Linked DNA regions of Arabidopsis thaliana. The protein of the gene in region 1 interacts with the protein of each later gene in a pairwise test. Each region holds a gene or a part of one and is shown in the gene's direction. Other genes may lie near its edges. The genes, in order: AT1G34320 and AT4G25920.

Region 1 (6,826 bases):
TTTTGCATTTTTCTATAGGTGTGGTATGCCTTGGTACGTGGAGGAAACAAGTTAGACACATAAGCACATATGTACTAGACGCAAATAATGTCACAAAAACGGTTTAAAATATCTAGTTTTCAGTTTGTATGTCGTACTTATAACCGAACGTGTGTGAAGTTCTCATGTCATGTACCAGTTCTGTTAAACTAATGAAATATGTTCAGAGGTTTATGACCACTATAACTATTAGACCTGATTTCAATTAATCAAGAAAAATCCAAACTTTTTAATATATGCATTATGCTTTACAAAATTGTTTGATCTTCTACTGATGTAAAGACATTTACAAAATATAGTTATTTAATTGATTCTAACTAATTTGTTCGCGCATAGCGCGGGCCGTAAACTAGTATTTGATAATTCAGGTGCCTTTGTTTTGTTTTCTTGTATTAGGAGTGTGGGGGCTAATGAATTAGTTACAAAAAATATAAATTGAATTGTGGAATCATTTGACCAAAAAATTGAGCAAAAAAAGAAAGAAAAAGAAATGTAGAATCAAAATATTCATGATGAATTGCGATGGAGACAGAAGAATAACTCAAAAGATTTGACCAATGTGAACTTGTTGAAACGTGGAATTGGTCCAAAAGAGAGGCAACCTTATCATTAAATTAGGCTAATTCGCAGTTAAATAAGTAGCCTAAAATACTAAGAATTAATTTCACTTAGTTTATCATTGAAATTGGTTTAGGATCATGTTTATGAAAATACGATTGAAATCTCTTTCTGTTTTTTTTTACAACTACAAACTACTAATTAATATTGAAATCTCAAGACTTGAAAAAAAAAAGATAAAAACTCGCTTGTAATTTGTTTTTCTTTTGAATAATTATAACATTCCAAATAAATGATCATACCTTTGAAGTTCCAAATCATTTTATAGCTTTTATCTTTTATGTAATAAATAAGCTATGGGCCATCACATTCCATTTATTTACATAAATACTAAATGATAATAACAATTATTTTCCTATATGATATCAACATTTTTTTTTTATTCAAGCTTCCTACCTTTGACCATGCTATAAAGCTATTATGACATTGCCACACATAGGTTATTTGGTAAAACAATGTAATTTGAAACCTACTTTAGATTCTGTTGTCCTTTACTTGGTAAAAAGTCAACTTTCATTTTCAAAACTAGATATGCATATACATGTTGACTGATTTTCTTCACCTTTTTCTATTTCAAGGACTTACAATAATTACCAAATACTTCCTTCATTCACACAATCAAAGGTACAAAATGGTTAAATATTTCAAAATTTACTACTTGATACAACTTAGTTTACTACTTGGAATATACAACAAAAGATATTATATTGTAATTCTTTTATATAACCATAACTCTTTTTTGCCTCAATAATATTGAATTAGAATGATTTCAAACAAAAGAAAAATAGATTGAAATCACAAAGAGAAAACAATATTTATTCCGAATCTTATAACTCGACGAAAATCGATTTTATCGACATTAATTATTCCATCACAATACTAATTTAAATTCCAAAAAACACCTATCAAAAGTGAATTTTCGCATAACAAACTCGAAACATTACACCGATATGTATTTGATGATAATTTGATAACAACATATGGTATTCTTCGAAATTGACGTGTCTTTATTTCTGATTTCTGTTGAAGTGATCCCAATTCAAAGAATTTCAATGAAATCCATTTAAAAGACTATATAAACATAAATTTAACTATGTAAATAAAATTTGGTAACATACAAAATAATTCTAATTATGTAGTAATATTTGATAATATAAAATATACTGCAACTTGTTAGTAAAAAAATAATAAAAATGTGTAAATGGGATTGAGAGTTTTGAAGAGTGTAGAAATGGGTAAAACGAGAAAAAGCCTTTGGGGGTTGAATTTTTGGCTAACTTCACCATCTGACACTCTCCAACTCCTCCTCTCTCTTCAGACTAACCCAAATTCAATTCATCTCTCCTCTCTCTCTCTTTCTCGAGTCGCGTTTCTTCTTCTCTTTTCCTTGTAGACATCTCCACGATTCTTCAGCTGAGAGCTTCTCACTTCTCTCTAGAGCTTTGCTCAAGAACTAGCGACGAAGAAGAAGAAGAAGAATCTGAACTTCAATCTAATTCCCAGATCCAAGTTTCTGACTCTTCTTAGGTCTTTCTTCTCCATTCCTTCAAGCTACTGAATTGAATTTGTCGTTTTGGGTTCTTCTTTAGCTAGGGTTTTCGATTTCCTCTTGACTTTAAAATCTTCTTGATTCATTGGCAGGTTTCGTATGAGAGAATCAAGTTTTTTTCCACTGAGCAATTTGCTCCATTAATGGACTGTTGCTTTCATACAAATCAGGATTTGCGATTACAGTGTTTCGCTGGTTACATTGTTCATCCATTTCAAGTTTCCTAGAGAGTTCAATCCGAGATCAGAGTTTTTTTTTGCGTATGGAGAGTTTCGAGAGAGTTTGAGAGCTAAATTTGGAAACTTGCTGTGATGGGTGGGCTTTGTTCAAGGAGTTCATCTGTAAATAATGCTCCTGGTGGAACCTTTGCACATGTTAATGGTCATCATCTCAATAACAATGCCTCTGACTTGAATTCTCATTCTGGTGAAAGTGGACTTAAAGATGATCCTTCTCCTGTTACCGAGAATGTTGATGATAATAAGCATACATCGGAATCGTTTTCGTTTCCTATAGTCTCTAGTGGATCTCATCCTCAAAATATCGAGGATGGGATTCCTCGGTTATCGAGGGTTTTATCTCAGAAATCTAGATCCACTAAGTCTAGACAAGCTGCTGTTGCTAAGGTATATAAAGAAATGTTAAGCTGTTGTGTGTTGTTAGTTCTGAGTTCAAATTTATTATACTAAGGTGTTTTTGTTTATAGGTTTCGGAAGTAAGCTCTCTTTTGGGTAGGGCTGGTACTATGGGACTTGGTAAAGCTGTGGATGTGTTGGATACACTCGGGAGTAGTATGACGAATCTGAATCTTAGTGGGGGGTTTTCTTCTGCGACGACGGTGAAAGGGAATAAGATATCAATCTTGTCTTTTGAAGTTGCTAATACTATTGTTAAAGGCGCCAATCTTATGCATTCTCTTTCGAAAGATAGCATTACTCATTTGAAAGAGGTTGTGTTACCTTCAGAAGGTGTTCAGAACCTGATATCGAAAGACATGGATGAACTGTTGAGAATTGCTGCTGCTGATAAAAGGTAACAATTGTTTGTGATTGTGTTCTGTGTTGATGCTGTTTTCTAATTTGTAGTTTGGAGATAAGTGACGGTTGAAATTGTATACAGGGAAGAGTTGAGGATTTTTTCTGGAGAGGTGGTGCGTTTTGGGAATCGTTGCAAGGATCCTCAATACCACAACCTGGATCGTTTCTTTGACAGGTTCCAACATGATCCTGTCACTTTGGTGGTCACACAACGGGTGTATTCCTTTTGGAAAGTATCTGACTTTTCATTAGTTCTGTGTTATGATTTAGGTTGGGCTCTGAATTTACACCCCAGAAACACTTGAAACAGGAAGCAGAGACCATTATGCACCAGATGATGTCATTTGTTCATTTTACAGCTGTACGTATTTTCATGCAAAATTGTGATATTTGGTCCTGTTTGACTTCCTCAATAGCGATCTACTCTGAGTATATGTTATGTTTCAGGACTTGTATCATGAACTCCATGCGCTGGATAGGTTTGAACAAGATTACCAACGTAAGATCCAGGAAGAAGAGAACCCAAGCACAGCACAACGAGGTAAGTACCAAAAAGAAAATATCTATTCTTAATATCTTTGGGAATGGATGCTATTGTTTTACACTCTAGTTTCTTCTATTTGTTGGATGTCGTTCTAATTTATCTTCCATTTTTTCTCCTTTTACATAAGGTGTGGGAGATACCCTCGCTATCTTGAGAACTGAATTAAAGAGTCAGAAGAAGCATGTTAGAAACTTAAAGAAAAAGTCTCTTTGGTCTAGGATCTTGGAAGAGGTAAGGGCTGCAATAAACGTATAATATTTCCTTTTATTTGGAGTTGCTTGGCTCATCTGCATTCACAATTGCTAATTCTTGAAAATACTAATAATACTTAGGTGATGGAGAAACTAGTAGATGTTGTCCATTTCTTGCATTTAGAGATTCACGAAGCCTTTGGTGGTGCGGGTGAGACTCGATTATTGGATAAAGCGTTTTCGTCTTATTTTAGCGTTCAGGAAGATAGAGGATTTAGTTATTTTCTTGTACCTAAAATGAAAGATGTACTTACAAATCATGGCCATTTCACCTGATATGCAGATCCTGATAAGCCTGCAAATGACCCGCCAATCAATCATAAAAAACTGGGCTCTGCTGGTCTTGCCTTGCATTACGCAAACATCATTACTCAAATTGATACTCTTGTAAGTATATTATTCTTTTTTATCACTTAGTTTTACTTTCAATGTTTGGCCTGTTGTCCAAACTCTAGGTTCCTGGGATTGTAAATCGTTTGTTTCTCGTATCCAATGGTCTCCCGATTTCATTAATAATCTACCTCCAAGCATCAGCAATAATAATATGATTGGACCCATACGGCTTGTGGAATATATTTTAAATTTATCATTTCTATGAGTAGGTGTCCCGGTCTAGCACTATGCCTGCAAGCACAAGAGATGCTTTGTACCAAGGTTTACCCCCAAGCATAAAATCTGCTTTACGCTCCAGAATACAGTCCTTCCAGGTTAAAGAAGAGGTATTAATACTGTTTCACACTTCCCATAATGCTTTTGTGCTGACAAGATGAATTTACCATGTCCAGTGTTACTTGAAATGTTATTTGTATCCCTGCTCACCTCACTATATCTGATTTGTTTTCACCAGCTCACTGTTCCTCAAATAAAAGCTGAAATGGAAAAAACATTGCAGTGGCTTGTTCCTGTTGCTACAAACACCACCAAGTAAGCTTCTGTGATGTTTTCTATCTCTTTATCTTTGGTTTTGTGTCATCATTAGAACTCTGTTCTCACTTAAATCATGTATTTTTTTTTGGCGGATCAATGGAACATGTGATGTCTTAATTCTGTTAACAAAAGCATGTAAAATTCCCTTAGTTTTAACTATTAAAGTAAGTCAGACTTATTCTTCTGTCTTTTCTTTTCTCAACCAGAGCGCATCATGGTTTTGGATGGGTTGGAGAATGGGCAAGTTCCGGGTAAGCCCTGACTACAAGCTGATTCTCTCTTTGTGCTGTGTATATATGCAGACAACTGCATTCTTTACTAAATGTTAGATTATGCAAAATAACTCAGGTCGGAGGCGAACCAGAGACCTGCAGGTCAAACCATACTAAGGATAGATACTCTTCACCATGCAGATAAAGAAAAAACCGAGGCTTACATATTAGACCTGGTGGTGTGGCTCCATCATCTCGTTACCCAAGTCAGGGCCACTACAGGTTATGGCCTAAGATCTCCTGTTAAGTCTCCAATCAGATCACCTAACCAGAAAACGATCCAACTCTCCAGCGGTTCACACAACCCGAGTATGGGTTTGCCATTGCTGACTACGGAGGATCAAGAGATGCTTAGAGATGTAAGCAAGCGGAGAAAGACGCCAGGAATAAGCAAGAGCCAAGAGTTTGAAACGGTGGCTAAAGCACGTCTTTGTAAGCACCATAGGCTAAGCAAAAGCAGTAGCCACTCACCAATGATGGGCGAGATGATGAAGAATAAGAAGGATACTTTCTCAACCAGAAGACCTTCTTCTGTTCCCATCATTGATTTTGACATTGATCGCATGAAAGCTCTCGATGTGATTGATCGCGTGGACACCATTCGAAGCTTGTAGTTAACTACTTCCACTCCATCAGAGTTCAGAATAGGGGTTGAATGGATGGGAAACACCACTCTCTTATCACCAAAAGTTGTTGATATGATGAAGAATCTGAATGTGATTCATCGCACGGTGCCATCGAAACCCTTTATAGGTGATGAAAAAATGGCAGAGGTTAGTAACTTTGTACTCTTTTTGGTTTTTGTGGGTGTAATTTGGTTTGGTTTTTTAGCATTTCCTTTGTATTTGTTGTTCTTTTTCTTCTTATAGTTGTATTGTGTACATACAAGAAACTTTATTACATATGTTTGGAGAATAAAAATAGATTATCTTTCCAAATGGATTAAACTCGAATTTAGACTAATAATCACCAGAGAAGCAACTGATAATTGAGAATCATAGTCTTATTAGCAGTAATTAACATTTGTAAAACGCCATAAATGTACTTCACATTACAACGCAAACAAACATCATCATTAGCTAATTGGCTTAGCCAGAGATCTCAATGGACTTAACTTGAGCCTTCATATTTTTGTAATCGTTAGATATAGAAACTATATTCATCCAGCACATGATAATGTGTGTATTTGATATAGAAGAAAATATCAATTGAAGGTGGCATGCAAATTTGATTTATGTTTGATCATTCCAACTGCACAGTCTTATAAACTAAACTTTATAAACGTGACGTTGTACAACATCTCGATGCGTCTGTAGATGTCCTTTCCGCTCATTTGTACTTCGTTTTGGACAGAATGCTTCTCAGTCTGAGCATCCAAGTTACCTTGGATTTGCAGGCCGTCATCGACTCATCGGCTCTCGATGATGCTCAGTGGTCATCCAAGTTTTTTTTTTATCCAAAAGTTTGTTGCATACTAGCATCCCTATCTTTCCTTGAGCATATCCAACATGTTTGAGATCTCTCACGTCCTACTTGCCACTCCTTTTCGGCATATCAGACGCATGTTTGGAATCTCAAAGCTACACAGA
Region 2 (3,926 bases), on another chromosome or scaffold:
GCGTTAACTACAATAATTGGATATTGGTTATTTGCAAAATTCATGTTCTTAAATCATCAGTCTAAACAAAAAAATTAGATTAGCCGAAGATTTCTTCTTCTACCCTTGATGATACTATTTGGGATGGGCTTGCTTAGATGTGCCGAATCCAATTCTCGTTTTTGGGTCTATCTATATTTGGGCTGGGCTTTATAAGAGGCGAAGCCCATGTCGAACAATCAATTTTTTTTTAATTTTATATTTCTTTTGGGAGTCTGTTCTGTCGTATTGATTAATAAAGTAAAAAATCTTAGCCACAAAATTAAATCATCTCCAAGACGTATCAATATCATCATCAATCCACCAATGAAAAGTTCTCTCTTTTTTTTTCCCACTCTTACTCTGTTCTCGCTACAGAATCTCCTGGGAAAAAAAAAAAAGAAACTTGATCCACCCGAATTCCCCAAATCTTCACAATTTCTGGAAACTCTCTCGATCGTGAAGCAGAAAAGTGAGGTTCCAAATGGGTTCTGTTTCGGGTCAAACCCGAATTACAACGATGAACCTCTCGCTCTCAACAGCAGAGAAGAACCCTAATTTCCGCTCGTCGCTTCTCAATTCTAAGGTAATTGTTATCACTTCGTCGAGCTTCACCAAAAAAATGACTCCTTTTGCTTGATTTCTTCTTCTCCTCTTTCGCTTGTGTTTAGAACGCAATTTCAGATACTTTAGGGGTCTCTTCCAAATGCAGTACATTCCTCAGGGGTCAATTTCAAAGAATACATTTTTCTTGGCTACAACACACTCGACCTTTGAGAAAACGAACAGGTACTTGATTTGCAAACCAGACCAATCTCTTTAGAACTTTAGTTGTGATTTAGATTCTTGTTATGTTTGGTTTAGTATTTGGTCACGTGAGCTGCGTCATGCCGTTAACGGAAGAGAATGTGGAGAGAGTGTTAGACGAAGTACGACCATCTCTAATGGCCGACGGAGGAAACGTGGCGTTGCACGAAATCGACGGACTTGTGGTGGTTTTAAAGCTACAAGGAGCTTGTGGTTCGTGTCCTAGCTCATCAATGACGTTGAAGATGGGAATCGAGAGTCGTCTTCGAGACAAGATTCCAGAGATCATGTCCGTTGAGCAGTTTCTTGAATCCGAGACAGGAGGTTTAGAGCTGAACGATGAGAACATTGAGAAGGTTTGGTTTTTTAAAGGTTTAGTTATTTTTGGTTTATTAGCCCCTTGGTTTTGAAATTGATCTGAATGGTCCTTTTTTGGTTTGTTGTCAATTTAGGTTCTCTCTGAGTTAAGGCCGTACCTATCCGGTACTGGAGGTGGGGGGCTTGAGTTAGTTGAGATTGATGGTTACGTGGTCAAGGTTCGACTCACTGGACCAGCTGCTGGAGTCATGACTGTTCGTGTCGCGTTGACTCAAAAACTGAGGGAAACAATTCCTTCTATAGGTGCAGTCCAGCTTCTAGAGTGACATTAACCTTTTTATTTTGTAACTTATATACAAGGCCTATTTTTGATTCAATATATTTTATTTCCAATTATATAATTAGTACAACTAATACAATAACCATTTCTGTTGAAGAAAAAGGAAAAGAAAAAAAAAGTATCCTATGTATGAAGGACATTTTCTCTAGTGATCCTTGTTTTTAGGTAACAGTTATAAAATATTCATGACTTGACTACACAAAGATAATCGAACTTAAAGAGTTATTTCCTTAAACCAATTATTCTCTAATTAAATATGCATTTATAGCGAGTTCTTGGTGAGCAAGGATACTAGAATCTCTATAATAAGTCGGACATAAGAAGATATGAGGAAACACAGACATAACATAGTTAAGAGTTTCAACAATGTCAAAGCTTATAATCAACCGAATATTCAAACCCTCTGTCTGCAAAAATTTCCTCGTACGTAAGCTTCTCTTGCTTTTTCTTTTTAACTTTAATTTTGTTCTTGTTGTCTCTGAATACTTGAACATAACTATGGCAGAGACACGCAAACGTTCGTCTGTTCTCATCTGCAACTCACACGAGTACTAAAGTGAATCAGCCCTTCTCGTCTAAACCAGCCTTCCCGTTTCTGTTGATTGACTACATCCTAAACAACCCAAACTCTTCCTCCGATGGTCGCGTAACAACAAACGTTTACGGTAATGAAAAGGAAGTCTTGATTAAGGACAAGGATCTTAAGGAGGAGGTCTGTGATGCGATGACTGTCGGGTTTTCTCGTGATGGGTTGCGAGTCGAGCTTTGTGGCAACCACGGCGATGTATGTTCTCCCACCATCTTTTACAAGCCTACTGACCCCGAAATAGAAGACTTGACCGTTGATCTACCTCCTCTACCGACGGGTTCACAAATCCAAAGCCTGGTCATGTCCTCTTTACCTAAACGAGACAAAAATTGGGTAGTTGTTGTCAAGTTATTGGGATCTCAGTTGAGTATGTGCAGGCCTTTTGGCAGCCGTAAATGGATCAACATCCAAACCAAGCCTCAGAATATAAACCCTTCATCGAGCATCATGTTTTCCAAGAAAGAGAAAAAGTTCTACGTTCCAACTCCCGGAGGCAACATCTTGTGCTATTTGGATCCTCACTCAGAGGACGACGACCTAATTGATTTCGTGGAATTGGAGTTTGACGATCTTCCAAAATCGGTGTTTCAAGAGTTGGCCGACGTGAGTACATGTTCTAGGACAGACCACCTTGTGGAGTCACCCACCGGCCAACTTTTCCTAGTCAAGTGGTATACTATCTAATTAAAGCTATATATAGCTTTTGTCTTCATAACATATATACCAAAATCTCTAATCCTTTGCTTGAGTATCATATTGGCGCGCTTTATCATGTCTTTGCAGGTATGGAGAGGATTTAGAGGACATTGACAACACCACACTGTATAATGTAACAAAAAAGTTCATGGTGTTTAAAGAGGGAGAGAAACCGAGTTGTGTCTACACTAAGAAGATGATCTATACAGAAGACATTGGAGATCTTTGCATTTTTGTTGGACATAGTGAGGCTTTCTGCGTCCCGGCTAGCTCGTCCCCTGGCCTCAAGCCTAACTGCATCTATTTTGTGGGCTATAACTTTGGTGTTTATGATCTCACCACCAAAACTTGCACTATGTTCCTCACAAAAGATGATAATCCATTAAGGAAATTGGAATTCCCTTACTGGCCTCCTCCGGCTTCCTTTCCAGTACTAGCTCCTAATTAATTATCTCTCTTGCACGTGTTTATGTTTCGCTAATGTTATCGCTGTCTTTGCTTTCCCATGATTTCATTTAAATCCAATGTTCTCTTTTAATCTATGTTCAATGAAATTTATATTAGTGCCTTAAAAGAAGGCGAATCTATCCTACCAAAAAAAAAAGAAGGCGAATCTAAACGAATTCGGTTAATTCATCATATTTCTCAATTAATATACGTAAGACACACTTTGGCACAAAACTTATATAATTATTTATTTCCTGAAACAAGTTATCCTCTAAATATGTATATTTAATGTCCTAAGGTGTAGTACCCTCGGTATTCACTAGACAGAGACGGGGAAGACGAAAGAGTCGCACGTCAAATCAAAATCACAACACATATTTTGAGTGTTGTTACATTATTTTGTGGTGGATCACTATGTGGAGTCACCCTCCGGTGAACAATTCCTCGTCAAGTGGTATATATACTATAGACATTGCTTTTGAATAAACAATTATACAAACTATTAGGTTAATTACTCAACATTTTAATTTGATTTAATGGCTCCTCACCAAACACAAGAAGAGAGGTGAAACATGTTATCTTATTTGTTCTTCCATGCATTTGTTTTTAGGTACGGCCACAACTTAATGCGCAATCACAACAAAGTGGAAACACTCGTGCACATGGCATCACAGTTTATGGTGTTTAGAGCGGAGGAATCATGGGAGGAAA

The links.
Region 2: the proteins of AT1G34320 (region 1) and AT4G25920 interact in a two-hybrid assay, tested with the Arabidopsis thaliana proteins (one large-scale study listed by BioGRID).

The regions. Positions count from the first base shown.
Region 1 is NC_003070.9:12,518,196-12,525,021, forward strand, and holds AT1G34320 (Ikzf5 (DUF668)), read left to right. Parts: upstream 1-1,863; 5' UTR 1,864-2,184; exon of another isoform or gene 2,185-2,298; 5' UTR 2,299-2,517; coding exon 2,518-2,832; intron 2,833-2,912; coding exon 2,913-3,238; intron 3,239-3,325; coding exon 3,326-3,418; intron 3,419-3,513; coding exon 3,514-3,604; intron 3,605-3,690; coding exon 3,691-3,784; intron 3,785-3,914; coding exon 3,915-4,018; intron 4,019-4,119; coding exon 4,120-4,189; intron 4,190-4,321; coding exon 4,322-4,425; intron 4,426-4,640; coding exon 4,641-4,757; intron 4,758-4,885; coding exon 4,886-4,962; intron 4,963-5,171; coding exon 5,172-5,216; intron 5,217-5,313; coding exon 5,314-5,851; 3' UTR 5,852-6,182; downstream 6,183-6,826. UniProt on the Arabidopsis thaliana protein: Promotes seedling growth probably via the regulation of phytosulfokine (PSK) signaling; PSK are peptide phytohormones acting as growth factors. Together with PSI2 and PSI3, required during vegetative growth and reproduction.
Region 2 is NC_003075.7:13,163,626-13,167,551, forward strand, and holds AT4G25920 (hypothetical protein (DUF295)), read left to right. Parts: upstream 1-1,849; coding exon 1,850-1,906; intron 1,907-1,988; coding exon 1,989-2,743; intron 2,744-2,855; coding exon 2,856-3,216; 3' UTR 3,217-3,247; downstream 3,248-3,926. Other genes in the region: NFU3 (NFU domain protein 3), read left to right, coding at 503-604, 690-807, 883-1,181, 1,278-1,469.